Linked DNA regions of Drosophila melanogaster. The protein of the gene in region 2 purifies or fractionates together with the protein of the main gene of each other region. This does not show direct contact. Each region holds a gene or a part of one and is shown on either strand. Other genes may lie near its edges.

Region 1 (5,525 bases), on a different chromosome or scaffold from region 2:
CAGGGAGATTGTGGACATAGTGATTGACTTCACCGGAGGAAGATCAAACCATTGCGGATCCTTGATCGAGCCAAGGCAATCCTTGGCCAAGGGATATAGGGCTCCATTGCCATCACGAAGCACAATGGTACTGCTGTTTCCGCTGCAGTCGTCGTTGCAAGCCATTAATATGTTGCCAGGCGTGGAGCCAATAAAAGAGTTGCAGTCCGTGGGAAATAGGCAATTTTGCTCCTGCTTGCAGTTATACAGGTTGTAAAGGCTGTAGTGGATTTTGCCGAGAACCTTCTTGATCACATGAATGCCGCGCGAGTCCACGGCCAGGGTGAGTATTTGTGCGCCAGCTGCATCACCACCAACGTTAATCTTTTTCGGCTGTTTTTGCAACCAGTCTGGGCCACGGGTGGACATAGCAGTGCGAAATATCTGGACATCTTCGCGTCTCAGCAGCCGACACTGCTGCCAGTCGTCCTCCTTGCCCTCTTCCTTGGATGTGGAGGCTGTGTTAGATGTGGAACTTGTTGCGGCAGCAGCAGCAGCAACGGCTGCTGCATTTATTGCCGGAAAACGAACGGCAACAAAGTCGCCGTCGACCTTAAGCACCTTTCCCACTGGGCCCACCTTGTCCTCGACAAACACCACGTCCTTCACTTCCCACAGCTCCTCATCCTTCCTTCCCTCCTGCGGGGCATTGGAGTCCTCTTTCGTAGTAGCTCGCTTAGTACGCTTGTGGGATGTGACGCTGCCGGTGTCGCTGCATGTGCTGGATGCCGGTGAAGGCGGAGGTGGCATGTCGATGCGATCTGTTGACTCCTTGCTGTTTGAGAAGGATTGTCCATTCTTACTACTTCCAGTGCTGGGCATTGCCGTGGACTTTGGCAGATCTTTATCCGGAGTAATTCCATGGGCATTAAGATTATTGCCGGCTGCTTGGGATTTGTCTACGCCAGAGTTCGTGTTAATATTTATGATTTTCATGCGGCACACATCGGTGAAGGTCCAGACTGAATTCAAAAGCTGCCCCACCTTTGGGACGCCATTGGAGCATGTGAATCCGATTGATCCAGATTGATACATGGGACACTTCTTCATTATCACTTGAGCACCCACATTAATATCGGTGGCAACCACCTTAAAGGGTTTCTTGGTCTTGGTCCGGAATTTGTCCCACAAGAAGCGGCGTTGATCAAACGGCAGGACTCCCCACCAATATATGTTGTTGCTTTCGGTCTTAACAACCGTGTATAGCGAGCAGACGTAGATCTTTGTTATGGAGTCCGATATAAACTCGTTAAACGCGCAGCAACTGTGCTCCAGCTTGGCGCCGATGTAACCTAGTTGCTCGTCCATCCAAGTTGCTACTCGATTGGTTTCTGTAACAACGGAGCATCTGATGAAGTTGGCCGAAATAAGCTCCACTCTTTCAACTATGTTGAGGGAAACAGTTTTGGGATGATAAACGTTTTCAGTCTGCAAAATAGGATAAATTATGAGTTAAAGTATGAGTAAAGATTTCAATAAAACTTTGGTTTATATTATTTTATATTATTTCCTTACCTCCGACTTATAAGGCTCTGCATCTGACCAGCGCCACTGGTACAAATCTCCGCTCTCTGACAAGGCAATGAACTCCGAATACAAAGCTCCTATGGTCTTGAACCTTACGGAACTTTTCTCTGGCCATGGCTGCAATTCTTCAGATATCCAAATGGGGGACAACATGGGGGATGGCTCTTTTTTCTTGGAATCTAAATTAAAGTAGGTGTCAGTGTAGCAAGAGGATCATCGTCTTTGCATTTTATCAACTTACCAGCATCCTTCTCCCAGGTATAGTCGTCTTTGCTTATCCAGCGTCGTGGTCCGTAGTACTGACGATCCCGCCAACGACTAAAAGCCTCGCGGTCAGCATTAACTGATATTTGAGCTGAAAGTCCACTGTTACCAGTTAAGGCAGTGCCTGAACTTGTTGAGCGGGTCGTCGATTGGTTACTGTCTGCGGCATTTGCGTTGGCATTACTGCGTTCACTACGAATGCGATCGAACAGCAAGCTGGCCAAATGTAAAACAATAAGTTTAATTCGGTTTTTGTGTTTATTTAAAATTACTTACTTTCGAATGCTGGAGTAGTTGCTAAATATCTCCTCCGAGAAAAGCCCATCTGAGGGATCTATGATGACGCTGTTGTTATCTCCACTGAACCCATTATCCAGCAGGGAGATAAGGTCTTCGGGCACGTAATTATCGGCACCTTCTTCGGTATCTTCAGCTTCTTCATCATCGCGCGAAAGCAAATTGTTCACAGCTAAGTTAACATCGAGGTTGGTGCGCTATTGAGGGAATTGTATGATATTACACGAATAAGATGTTCTTGTATCGATGAATTTACCTGTAATTCTCTAATTATGAGATTTCTGCTCTTGCCCTGTAGAACCACCTCTGCTTGGGATATGAGCTCCTCCGGCACATATGTAGCCGGAACTGTTACTAAGGGTCGGCTCGATGTACTGCCTCCAATGATGACCCCTGTGCTACGAGATCCGGACCCCTGTCCGGTGGAATTGGAGCGACCTGTTGCGCGCAGCAGGCGTGCTCTTGAGCGGGCCATCGGTCGGGATGAGGATGGGGCTTTCGAAGCACTGGCCGTTCCGCTGCCACCACTGGTGGAACTATAAATAAACATCAATCAACAAACATTCGAATCTATGTAACTGGTACACCATTAAGCTTACCATTTTGCGTCTGATTTGGTCAAGTCAAGTTTCTCAGAATTTATAGAAAAGGACACGCGGAATGCCTTGCCATCCTCCAGTAAAACTCCAATGTGCGCGGGACCAATGACGACTTCCTTCACTGGAATTTTCAACTGTTCGAATATGCGATGGCTGCCATAACCAAATCGGTTCACCTTATCCGACACTTCACGAATCCTAAAATGGGAGAAAATGTATTAAGAATACGAGCAAGTCGATGCATGTTCTAAATCTCCTAAGCGTAGGGTGCATTTTATGGATGATTTCTGGCCTTGCCAGACTTTTTATGATTGACGACTGGAAAATTTAAAGCTTCTAAGAAAAGTGCACATCACCAAGGAAGAAAAAGAGCCGGTGTTACGATTATTTGGCGTTTAAAGGTTTTGGGTTATGGAAAACGCTGAACGATTTCATGCCATGTGCTGAAAGAGCGACATTCGGCGAAATATAATGTACAAATCAAGCATGTGAAAACATGTTTGTAACATTGTACATTTTAGTCGGAAGCATGGACTTCTGCAAGCTTCTTTCGAGAAGCTTATAATATAAACATTTCAATAGTTTGCTCAGCACAAATAGTTAAATATGAACAAATTAATCAGCATGTATGCACATGCACTCACACATGCTACCGTTCACATGTCGCACACATTCGCACACACACACATATGCGAATGGTTAGAGAATTAATTGTGGATGAAAAGTGGGAAACGCAAGTGCATTTCGCAAATTCTGCGGCTAATGTTTACAGAACCGCGTGGACGGCACTAGATGAGGTAAGTCCGCCAGTGTCTGTGGCTCGCGTTTTACGTTAATGATCATATGTACATATCTTCCTGCGTATACATATAGCTGCGTACCTACATATTTTCACATAACAAATACATGCAGCCGTACGTACACAATTACACGGAATTCCGCGTTCACATGTGCGTAATTGCGGTACGCGAGGATTATATTTACCTTTCAATAAACTGATCGTCCGAGCCCGGTAGCGGTTGCAAAACAAATTGCATGGAAACCATTTTAATTTTTCAACTATTCATGTACACAGTGTCCTCGTTGAATTTTCATGTCACAAAACGTTGAGAGACTTTCAGAGTGACCGTACTGGCTAGAGCTGGGACGAAAACCGATGCCGCCCGACTGTATCGATGGTTGCCGGAAAATTCGACGGTATCGATACATTCTCCAAACAAATTTATTGGTAAACAAAAACTTTACTTTCAAATTAAATTGACATTGACTACAATATGTGTACTTAGGCTGTATATATTTTATTAAATTTAAGATACAGAAGTTCACGAATGCGTCCATTCTTATCGGTTGTTTTTCCTTAAATAGTGGCAGTCCAAAAAATCTCCAATAGAATATACTAAAATATACTAAAGACCGCTTTAAAATAATGAATTGGTAGAAAACTTTGATTGACAAACTTTTGAGAAGCCGATTTAACCGCTTTTACGTCGCGTAAACCGTTTGCTTAGGAACTAGAAATAAAATTCAGTTTGTTCACTTTGTTGTATATTTGAGGAATTTATTTAGGTCACTGAGTATCGTTAATGATCTTAAATTAGAAGGAAATTAGATAAGTCAGCAGAAAAGCATATACGTTTACTAAGGAGTTTCCAAATCTAAAGCTCTCAAGGGTCCAGATTTTTAACAGAAGGTATACCTGAAAATAGTTTCCTTAAAAAAAAATCATATTGTGACTTTTAAAACAGTTTTGTTAAAATTTTATCAAGCTATAGCTTTTAAATGTTTTCTCCCTTGCTGAAAAGTGAAAATATTCATATATGTTGTACTCGTATATTAAAATCGTGTTATAAGTGGAGTTATTAAAGCAAGTTTAAACACATTAATTTTGCTTTAATAATTTAACGTAGTTCTTTCGTTTATTTTATAGCATTAGTGAAATTTATTTTAAAAGTATTTTTTCATTTCTATTTGGGAAATTATACATAGAACCATGTGTATGTACAGATATAATTTCCGAATCCGAACCTTCTTACCAAACGCAGATTACTCGACAATGCATCTAAATATATGTATAGTTAATGATATATTATTTATCGATTGTGCTCATTGGCACTACTCTCGTACATATTAGTAGAATATTCATCGATTGTCAAGTGGCTGTTACTTTCGATCATACCCGAGTCCATATTGCTATAGTCCTTGGACGCTTTACTTAAACCATCACTACCGCAATAGGGAAGACAACCAATTCTGCCTAAATCATTTGGATTATTGGAATCTAGAGGATTATCAGCACCCGGTGGCAAACTAGTGCAATGTTGCGTACAATTGTCGCAGGGATTCTTATCAGTGGGCACACCATTGCCGGATTGGCATGAATTTGGGGAGGAGGACGGTTCATATTTCCGGGGTCTCCCTCTCGACAAGTGCCGCCTTTTGACAAACTCATTATCGTCGACCATCCAAAACGAGCCAAAGTCATCTTCATAACGTACAAAGCACTTGTGTAAGGAAAGGTTCGTACGAATCGCATTCTTTATGATTGGTTGGACAAAACAAGAGCCCCATCAAGAGTCAGAAACAGGAAATTGCATTATCGTGAAAGGAAGAAAAAGTTCATTGAGATATTAAGGTTAGTTCATTTGTCTTCGGTCTTCTTATTTTCATTTTTCATAACACGCGAAATCCTGGATAATCTTCATCAGCTAAATTCCAGACAGACAGACAGACAGATCGATGAGCAGACGGACATCATTTTGGGTTTCTACCACTAAGAGATTAGAATCACTGTTTACAATT
Region 2 (9,355 bases):
GTCCATTCAGGGAGTGCGGACCTGCGGCGATTATATGTTTAGTGGTCACACGGTGGCCTTGACCCTGCTCAACTTCTTTATCACAGAATGTGTGTTATTTATTTATATTTCCTATGCTGCTTACTGACTTACACTCTGATCTTTCAGACACGCCGCGGAATCTGTACTTCCTGCACACGCTGACCTGGCTGCTCAACATGTTTGGCATATTCTTCATCCTGGCTGCCCACGAGCACTACTCCATCGATGTGTTTGTGGCCTTCTATATCACCTCACGTCTGTTTCTGTACTATCATACTCTAGCAAATAACAGGGTGAGCATTTAACAGCTTCGTTTTTGTTTAGAAAGGGCATTCTAATAATAATTTATTTCCACAGGCTCTCATGCAAAGCGACTCCAAGAGGACGCGTGTTTGGTTTCCCATGTTTAGCTACTTCGAGAGCAGTGTCGATGGAATGGTGCCCAATGAATACGATACACTTGGCTCCCTCATCGATGGGATTATTGAGCAGATCTTCAAGGCCAAGGATCAATTGGCCATATCCGTGAAGCGCTGCTGGCTGGATGCCCCGCTGTCCGGCAATTCATCGGCTCACATGTTTGGCGGAGAATCTGAACAATGTTTGCGCAATGGCACAGCATCGGCCGCTTTCTTTAGTCCTCACCAGTCGCTGATCGGAGGATTGGGTGGTCAGAGGAGCCAGACGCATTTGAATAGCGCCCAATCCGGGTCCTCCACACCCACACCAGCTACATCGGCGCCGACCAAGAGTTTGCCGACCCAAAAGAAGACCTTCAGGGATGCGAGTGTGGATCCCTTTTCGCGCACGACGTTCGCTGCGGTCCAGCAGGCAGAAAACGTCAAGGATTCGCCGATGAAGGAAAAGAAGCATCTCTGATTCTCACAGCCATTCGCTCTTCCACATTCGTATATCGATATCGATGTCGCTCTTCGAAAAGCAAACATGCAGAAACTAACCATACCGACTGATATTTTTATTTCGAAATTTCCATCGATCCCCTTCCTTTCACAGCTCTCCCCTGTATTATTGACAGCATTCTACCATTTGTAGTGCCTTCCGGGTCAGATCCCCCCAGATCATCCACCCACCATTTAGAAAGTCGTTGTGTCCCCCAAGAGCCTTTCCTTAGTTTACTTGTGGAATTTTATGAATATCGAAGTTTTTTTTAGCCGGGAGATGCTCCACGTCGGCTTTGAATTGATTATGATGATAAGATAGCCCTCCTCATTCCGTTCAATTGAGTTTTGAACTAAATGTATTTATTATTGAAGACTTTTTAATGCATTATTATGTAATTGTAAGCATGTGAATCAAGCGTATTTTTAGTTAACTAGTGTTAAGTTTGGAAAGTTTCTGTTGAACGCACAAACACATTAAATAAATCAAAATGAATATTCTCAGAGTCTGGAGAAGCCACTGTAAAGGTTATTCATAATTTTATTCACAAATGGAAAGTTTTGCACAAAAGGTATCTCTCATTTTGCTCAGTCTTTTCCCCACCTATGGCAGTTTTGCTAGATTCGCAAATTATATTGAAAAACCTGGTTAATCATTTAGCATTAGCTGGATTTGGAGCAACCAGAACCAATTGAGTTTTATTCGGATAATACGGGTTGGTATAAAAAAAAGAATATTGTGGTTTATAAACGGATGAAATTAAGAGTTCGCTTCACAAACAGAATAAAAAGCTTTAAAAAGAAAAGACCAGCGGGCATCTACAATTCATCATTTTATTTTTGTTTGTTTTAATATAAAAATGGCATTTCTTTACTAATTTTAAGTTTAAATTACTAATATAAAGTAGTATGTATGATTGCGGTAATTGAAAAATATATATATATATATATATCATATATTCTCGTATATATTCTTCAAGGTGTGAAAAAATAATTGCAATGAACATGAAACATCTTCTGTCAAGCGTATTTTATAAGAAAGCGTTCAATTTAACTTAATGAATAACTTTTATACCTTTTTTGTTGTTTGCCTTTTCTTTTCGTTATTCATTTTTGTATGGTGTAAAGCAAATCGAAACATTTCAATTGTTTTGTGTGTTTACATTACTTTGCAATAATTCGCATCAAAGGAAGAAACAATTAACAAACGATACTCGAGAAAATAGGCAAATTCAAGCGTTCGTTTCTCGCCTTAGTGTTACAACTAATATGCAAAAATAAACTATGAAAAGTGTTCTTCATGAGTTGTGAGTTATCTTTGTTGCTTCGCTTCATAAATTACAATTTCCAAAAAAACAATATATGTAGTTTGATAGGTTTTACATCATACCTTATATGCTACATCATGTGCCTAACATTATATATTTGCCAATTCTGTCGGTCTGTTATGTACGAAGCTACGTTTGAGGTTTCATTGAATCGTTCTCTCTACGGATGCACCCATATGTATATGTCTGCAGTGGCGGTGTGCTTATAGTTCATATAGTTCATAATTTGATATTTGTCATTTTATTTAGAATTTGCGTTATGTGAAAAACATAAATTTAACAAGTTGGTTTGTTGGTTTCTCTCTTTTGTGGTTTTTGCTTGCTTTTAAATAATTCATCCCTTTGCTGCTAACCGATACAATATATATATGTAAATCTAGGCATAAACTATAACCGTTTTCTTCGCGTGTATTTCAAAATATATTAAACACGATGTATGTTGTAGTTTGTTTTTTTTTTTTTGTTTGTTTTTAGGTTTTTTGCTTTTTAGGTTTTTTTTTTTTGTTGGTTTGTTTTGCGTTTGCTTTAGTTTCCTTATTTGTTGTTTGTTATAGTTTATGAGGGCTGTTGTTGTCGCGGTAGATCTACCGTCACATAAGATCGTAGTGCAATTATTAATTTCTTCTTTCTGAGGCTACAGCTGTGTACACAGCTTTACGACAGGTCTGAAATAAAAATATAATGTAATTAGCACTATAACCATGACCGATGGTAACTTGAACTCACAGCTAGGCGCTGCCTCGTAGCGACGCTGTATCTGATCATATGTGAACTTGACAAAGGCATCGTACTGCTCGGCCAGCTTGGTGGTCAGCACGGACTCGTAGCGCTCCCTTAGCTGATTCTCGCGCTCCTTGATCATGCTCTCGCAAATGAGCTGCACCTGCTTGAACGTGAACAGGGCCTTTTCGCCGTGGCGCATCAGGTTCTGTGGACTGTCCGGGCGGCGCGGACTCTCTGGACCCATCTCCGATCCGCTGGACTCCGAATCCTGCATGCGTTCCAAGGCCGACGAAGTGATCGGCAGCTGTTTGCGCTTGTGCAGTCTCTTGATCTCATTGCACAAGCTCTCGGCCATTTTGTCTGTGTTTCGAAAAGAAGAAAGGTGTATTAAGGTAATATGCATAAAAGGAATCCGACGTCCCTTTTCCAGCATCGACCTGATTTACTAACCTGGTGACATTTTGGCCAGCGACGACTCACTGAACGGACTAGGTTCGGTGCTATCCTTGGCGAATCGGTTGCTGGGCGTGTGGGGCAGACCAGCCGAGGTGCTGGGACCGTCGCGGGATGGCGACGCTGGACCTGCATTGCTCCCAGCCTGGCCAAAGGGATTGCAACGCCGGCGCTTCGGAGGCCGCTGGTTCATCGACTCCCAGTCTAGGGCTCGTTTCAGGGTTGCACAGGCCATCGCTATGATTGAGGTTCTACTACCCGGTGGTCTTCTGATAGATAGATGGCTTGCTTGATTGTCGGTAGATGCTGATTATTGCCTCGATTCCAAATGATGGATGCTGCAGATGGAAGATCAAGCGTCGGCTGCAATGGGCAAACAAACAATGAATGAGTAAGGTGAAGTGAACACCTTGCTGGCAAAGAAAAGACGGACGCAAACTGGTTTCAAGGAAAAAACAGGATTCACAGGCGTGCACTCACGCACACGCAGCCGATAAAAGAAAATGGTGCAGCGATTTATGGCCGCCAATGCTGGCAATTTGGACTTTTTCTCGCCTTGTATGTATCGTGGGCAACAATTGTACGCTCTCTTATCTTATCGCTTATGGGGCGTGATTTTGGAAATAATTTGAGGCTTCAACGCTACAAAACAAGGGCCTTTGCTTAAAAAGAGCGCCGAAAATAGGAAGGTACAAAAATTTTTAGTAAATACTTTTCGCTAGTCAAAGTTGCTAGCAATGCATAATTTGAAAAGCTATTATCCGATATTTTCCCCAGAAAGCTATTAAAAATAGAAATGCCAGTAAAAAACTTTTAAATGCGAAGTTCGCGTAAGTTTAATGACTTTGATGACGTCCGTTTTACCTAAATAATCATGACAAGAGAGGAAAAAAAATTCAAGACAACAAAAAAATGTTTTTTTTCCCCCATTTCGTCACGATTAAATTATATTGTTCAATAAAATTAGTAAGCAATTAAACATATTGTTATATTCTTATATTCATAGCTTTTTCTAGAATAGAATGACAAAACCATTTTAAAAACCTAATTTTTATGAGACTATTATAGTTTCCACGACAATTAAAAGGATGTTGGCTTCCTTGGGGTTTCTAGCTTCTTTCGGCTATCGCCGACAGCTCCGATACCGTGCACCCAGCTGCTGTTGTCGCAGGAAAAGGGCGATACCGAATCGGAATACGAATCCAGAAACTCCGAAGAGAAGGAGAAACCAGCCAAAGAAAGCGACGAAACGAAGTGGCGCAGCGCAATTAAAGGACGACCGACAATGAAAATAAAAAAAACCACCACGCAAAGGCAAAATGCATAGCAATGCAGAGGGAAAATAAAGAAAACAGAGAAAAGTGTAAACTGTAACCCAATAGCAGAACAACCACCGATAAAAGAAAACTACGCAGGATAATAATGCGTGTTCTTCTCACTCTTCCCCTTTCTTTCTTTTCTTCTTCTTCGTCGCTGCAGCGGCAGCTGTACCAGCTGTTTTCCGCACTAACACACGCACACTGCCCTCTCGATAAACCGCAACACGTGTGTATGCGTCTGCTGCTGGTGTTGCTGTCTCTGCCCACAATTATTAAATATTTAAAGCCATATACAAAACGTTTTTGGGTTTAACGTTATACTCTTTTACGTGACAAATGCCAGAGATTAGTTTAAAAAAAAGCAAACGAAATGGCAGCAGCCAAAGCGATCACACTGGTTGTCCCACTCTAGCCTGCACACGCACGCACACAAAGAAACGCACACGCACACCGTTGTGAGTTGGAATGTTGATTTCATGAAATTTTAAAAATGGTCGCATCGCATATCATTATCAGCTTTTCAGAGGAACAAAAAGTTAAACAGCTTTTCCAACAATCGCACTTACATTAATGCGTATTTTGATTTTTCCTTCCGACTGCTTTTTTGCTTTCTGCACCACTTCACACGCGCTTTATTTACTTTTTTATTGTGCCACTAGTCCGCTGGCACATACCCACTTACATTCACGTCCGTACTTCAGTTTGGGTGATTAATTTAGGTTTTCGGTTAGATATAAGTAATGTTATTGCTTGCTGGTTGTTTGAGCAGTATTCCAAAGGCCACTGAAATGCACTGTCAATAGTTGTTCGTCCTCGGCGACTCGCTAGATATAATTTACAAATTTTCGTCTCGCTTCTTAGCAAAAATGGACGACGATGCTTGCGTGACGGGACGTGAACAGAGTGACCGCATGGCGACCGCTAATATTGGTTGCCCTGCTAACGGATCTATACCAAAAAATACTTTATGGTTCTACCAAATATAGCAAAAACTTCAAATAACCGAAAAGTCTGGGGAGAACATTTTTCAATTGCATATTCTATGTACTTTCTTGAGTCCTATAACCTTAAGTCGTTTGTAGAAAGTTAGCATTATTGCATTTTTATTTTTATGGAATTCAACTCCAAGTAACAAAAAATTAATAAATAAAAAACACCCTCATGTTCTAAATTCCACCGTTCCTTGAAGCCGCTAACTCATCGACGCCAAATTAAAAATAATTTGTTCTATAATAAGAATCCTTTTCTTCTATCTTTTAAAAAACCTTAAAAAGCCTATCTTATGCTTTTTATAAATTATTATTTTATTATTACGATTATTAATCGAAGAACGTTTAAAAAATGAAAACCTTACATGGGAGCATAATAAAATTTAAGTTGTCTTAAAAATATTTAATTTTGAAATATCACTTAAGTTCAAAGTTTTTAGTATTTTAATCAAGCATCATATTTAGTATATTTGATAAGCCGGAAGGTTTTCTATAGCCGTCAATGCGCGGTCCCACCATTCAATTCAACGACAAAGTAGGAAATATTTTCCACTCCTGATATCAAATATTTTTGCACTTTTATAAGCGTCGCCAGGCAATTTTTTTATCCGCGTCTTTGCCGTTTTTACAGCCAATAAAACCAACGACCTTGCCCAGTGCGTGTGCCTTCGTCACCAGTGGAAAAACATTACGTAGGGGCGCAGGACGGAAGAAAGCAGGAAAAGAAAAGATCTATAAATATTTTTAATCGCCGTGAAAGTAGCCAGCAGATTTTAGTTGCAAAATATTATTTCATTTGCGGTGCGAGGACACAGTAATCTGCGAAAATGGTCTTGAAAGTCTACGTCAGCGGCATGTCCGGCAATAAGGAGGTGAGTTTGTGGGCGTGGCGGGCTTAAAACCGAAATAGTGTCATGTTATTGGAATGTTTGGCCCTGGTATTAGCGACAAACAGATAAAAAGGAAAAGAAGCAAACTAAAGTGGTGACGAACGCATTGCAAATTCTATTTCTTCTGCTGCGTTTCGTCTTTGTGTGTATGTACGTGAGTTGGACAATGATGATGATGTAGTGTGTGGTATGTAAGTCTGTATGTCTGTACAGTCAAAGAAAAACAAGTGGGTATTTTCGTGAGTGCCCTTGTGTGCGAGTGTTAGTGGTGGCAAGAAGCAGAACAAACATACATTTCATTGCCCATATAAGCTCATTCCACTGTGAACTGTAAATTGTTCATGGAAGAGAGGGATTTCCATTGATCGCAGTTGCGTGGGTGCGTGTGCATGTGTGTGTGTGTGTACATGCGTGAGGGGTGATTCACTTCCCCCTCTCACTCTTTCGGTGCCTTTGTTCAATTGGCAATCTTCCTCTTCCAATAAGAACAAAAACATAACGGTCATTGTACGGTTCACAATTATTTGTTTTTGTCCTGTCTTTGTACACTTTAAAAAAGCGTTGGGAAACACATATTCTTATCGTAAGATAAATGCTGGGGTGCAACAAACCATTTTAATTAGCCTTATCATATCGCGTGGTTCTGGCGTTCTTTTTACGTACATATGTTTATATCGGCGGGGAGTTGGCTTTGTGTGCGCTTGTGTGCGTTTGGGCTTGCCGGTAACACTTCATTAGCGATTTGTCATCGCTGTAATTAACAGCGTTGTCAAAGGTAGCTACACTGAACAAAACGATACATGTTAAAGGTATTTTATATACTTTAATTTTTAACTTTCTTTTCAAATTTAAATGCTTTCACTGACCGTCGAAATCCAATTTTACAGGTGAAGAAGCGCCAGCAGCGCGTTCTGATGATCCTGGACAGCAAGAACATCAAGTACGACACGGTGGACATCACGGAGCCCGGCAAGGAATCCGAGAAGGAGCTGATGCAAAACAAATCGACAAGCAACGGTGGAACGGTCAGCGATCCAGAGCCCCGTCATCCGCTTCCTCCGCAGCTGTTCAACGACGACGAGTACTGCGGTGATTACGACGCCTTTGACATGGCCAACGAGATCGATACCCTGGAGGTGTTCCTCAAGCTGGCTCCAGCCGACACCACGGCAGTTAGTACCGCCCAAATCGAACTGAAGCAGGAGAACGGCGATGCCAAGAAGGAGGAGGCGGAAACGGAGGCGGAGGATAAGAAAACGGAGGCCGGCGATGGCGATGTGGATGTCAAGGAGGAGGCTGCTGAGAAGGCCGAGGTTTGAACTTGAGCTATTTTCACGTATTTTCCGTTAACTGTTACGACGCAACAAACGCAGCCAGCAATCATCTGCAGCAGAGCAATAGAATTAACAACAACAGCAATGTCTTGAAACTAAAGCCCTTACACTTAACAGCAGAAATAACACCCAATGTTTACCTAACAGCACAGATACTACCAACTTTCTACATACATATATCAATATTTTATGGAGCCCGTCTTCGATTTCTATGCCCATAGGGATTTGGGGGAGTTGTATAGATAATTGCAGAATATGAAGTGCAATCTTCCTTTTAAATTATACAAAATTTACAAAACTAACTTTTAAAACTACGAGATTTATTTAGAGACTTTTTAGACCTTCATCGGTAGAGCATGAAATCGAAGATCTTTCAATTTTTAACGAATTCATTATGACTACTGCGGTTCTTAAGCTAAGTTCATGAGCGTATTTAAACGAGGGCATTCGATTGTGTTGGCCCCCGGTGAAAAGACAATTTTAATCAAAATATTTATATTCATTAACTGACATCCAAACAACTTGTATGTACCATTTATACACACCTGTAATAAGGACTCGGAATACTTACTCGGAGCACTTAAGCCTAAGTTGGAGTAGTGTAGAGAGCTGAAATTTATTGTGCAGCCGTTATGTTAATGCTAAAACATAAAAAAGCGCTGCCCCTGTAATAAAAGGAAATATATTTGTATTAACTAAAAAAAAAAACTATAACCAATCGCAAGCTTGTTTTTCTAACACTATGCAACACACTCAAACTCTAACACCAACTTATCAACGGCTAGTTTAACAATGAGAATGTGACAACTTAATTTACAAAAAGGCTTTTTTAATACCAAATATCTATAGAGAGATTTTCCAAAGTTGGTCTTTAGGTTTGACGAAAAAAACTTTTCACGAAAAGTACAGGAATATGGTGAATTTCAATATTCTTGAGCAATTTTGTTGCCTTAAAGACCGACTTTTTCGAAACAGTTTCGTAATGTAAAAACATTACTAACAATTGAGTGATTCTCTAAAGAACGAAGACGGCAAGGACAAGGAGAATTCAAAGGGCGAGGATGAAGACGCAGATGAAGAGAATGCCGAGCAAAAGGTAATAGATCGATAGATCCTGCATGACCGAACCATAACTCTAGGCTTTTAGAGCTTATAGGAGCTAACAAAGGCATGATCTCTTGCACTGTAGTAGCCTAGCGATTGTCTGATCTTGTAAATACAACTTCCACTTTACCCCCCCCCCCCCCAAAAAAAAAAAAAAAACGAAAAACCACCAATCAACAACCCACAAAACATTCGCACCCCTAATCCCACCACCCACAAAAAGACTGAAACCGAAGAATCTGGGGACAAGAAAACGGAGGAGAAAACTACAGGTAAAGTAGGAAGATCGTCCCTA

What was found.
Region 1: the proteins of akirin (region 2) and hyd purify together in Drosophila melanogaster (affinity purification with western blotting, with the first as the bait; one study listed by BioGRID). This does not show direct contact.

Annotation. Positions count from the first base shown.
Region 1 is NT_033777.3:9,721,754-9,727,278, forward strand, and holds the start of hyd (hyperplastic discs), read right to left. Parts: upstream 3,863-5,525; 5' UTR 3,773-3,862; coding exon 3,711-3,772; intron 2,925-3,710; coding exon 2,727-2,924; intron 2,664-2,726; coding exon 2,384-2,663; intron 2,325-2,383; coding exon 2,107-2,324; intron 2,047-2,106; coding exon 1,808-2,046; intron 1,746-1,807; coding exon 1,555-1,745; intron 1,468-1,554; coding exon 1-1,467. Other genes in the region: FoxP (forkhead box P), read right to left, coding at 4,817-5,260. UniProt on the Drosophila melanogaster protein: E3 ubiquitin-protein ligase which accepts ubiquitin from an E2 ubiquitin-conjugating enzyme in the form of a thioester and then directly transfers the ubiquitin to targeted substrate.
Region 2 is NT_037436.4:7,366,139-7,375,493, reverse strand, and holds akirin (akirin), read right to left. Parts: upstream 5,652-9,355; 5' UTR 5,426-5,651; exon of another isoform or gene 5,310-5,425; intron 5,155-5,309; exon of another isoform or gene 4,944-5,154; intron 4,695-4,943; exon of another isoform or gene 4,469-4,694; intron 3,788-4,468; 5' UTR 3,660-3,787; coding exon 3,422-3,659; intron 3,332-3,421; coding exon 2,975-3,331; intron 2,914-2,974; coding exon 2,903-2,913; 3' UTR 1,783-2,902; downstream 1-1,782. Other genes in the region: SMSr (sphingomyelin synthase related), read left to right, coding at 1-89, 148-314, 379-900; Sh3beta, read left to right, coding at 6,560-6,604, 7,510-7,935, 8,978-9,052, 9,284-9,332. UniProt on the Drosophila melanogaster protein: Molecular adapter that acts as a bridge between a variety of multiprotein complexes, and which is required for embryonic development and for normal innate immune response.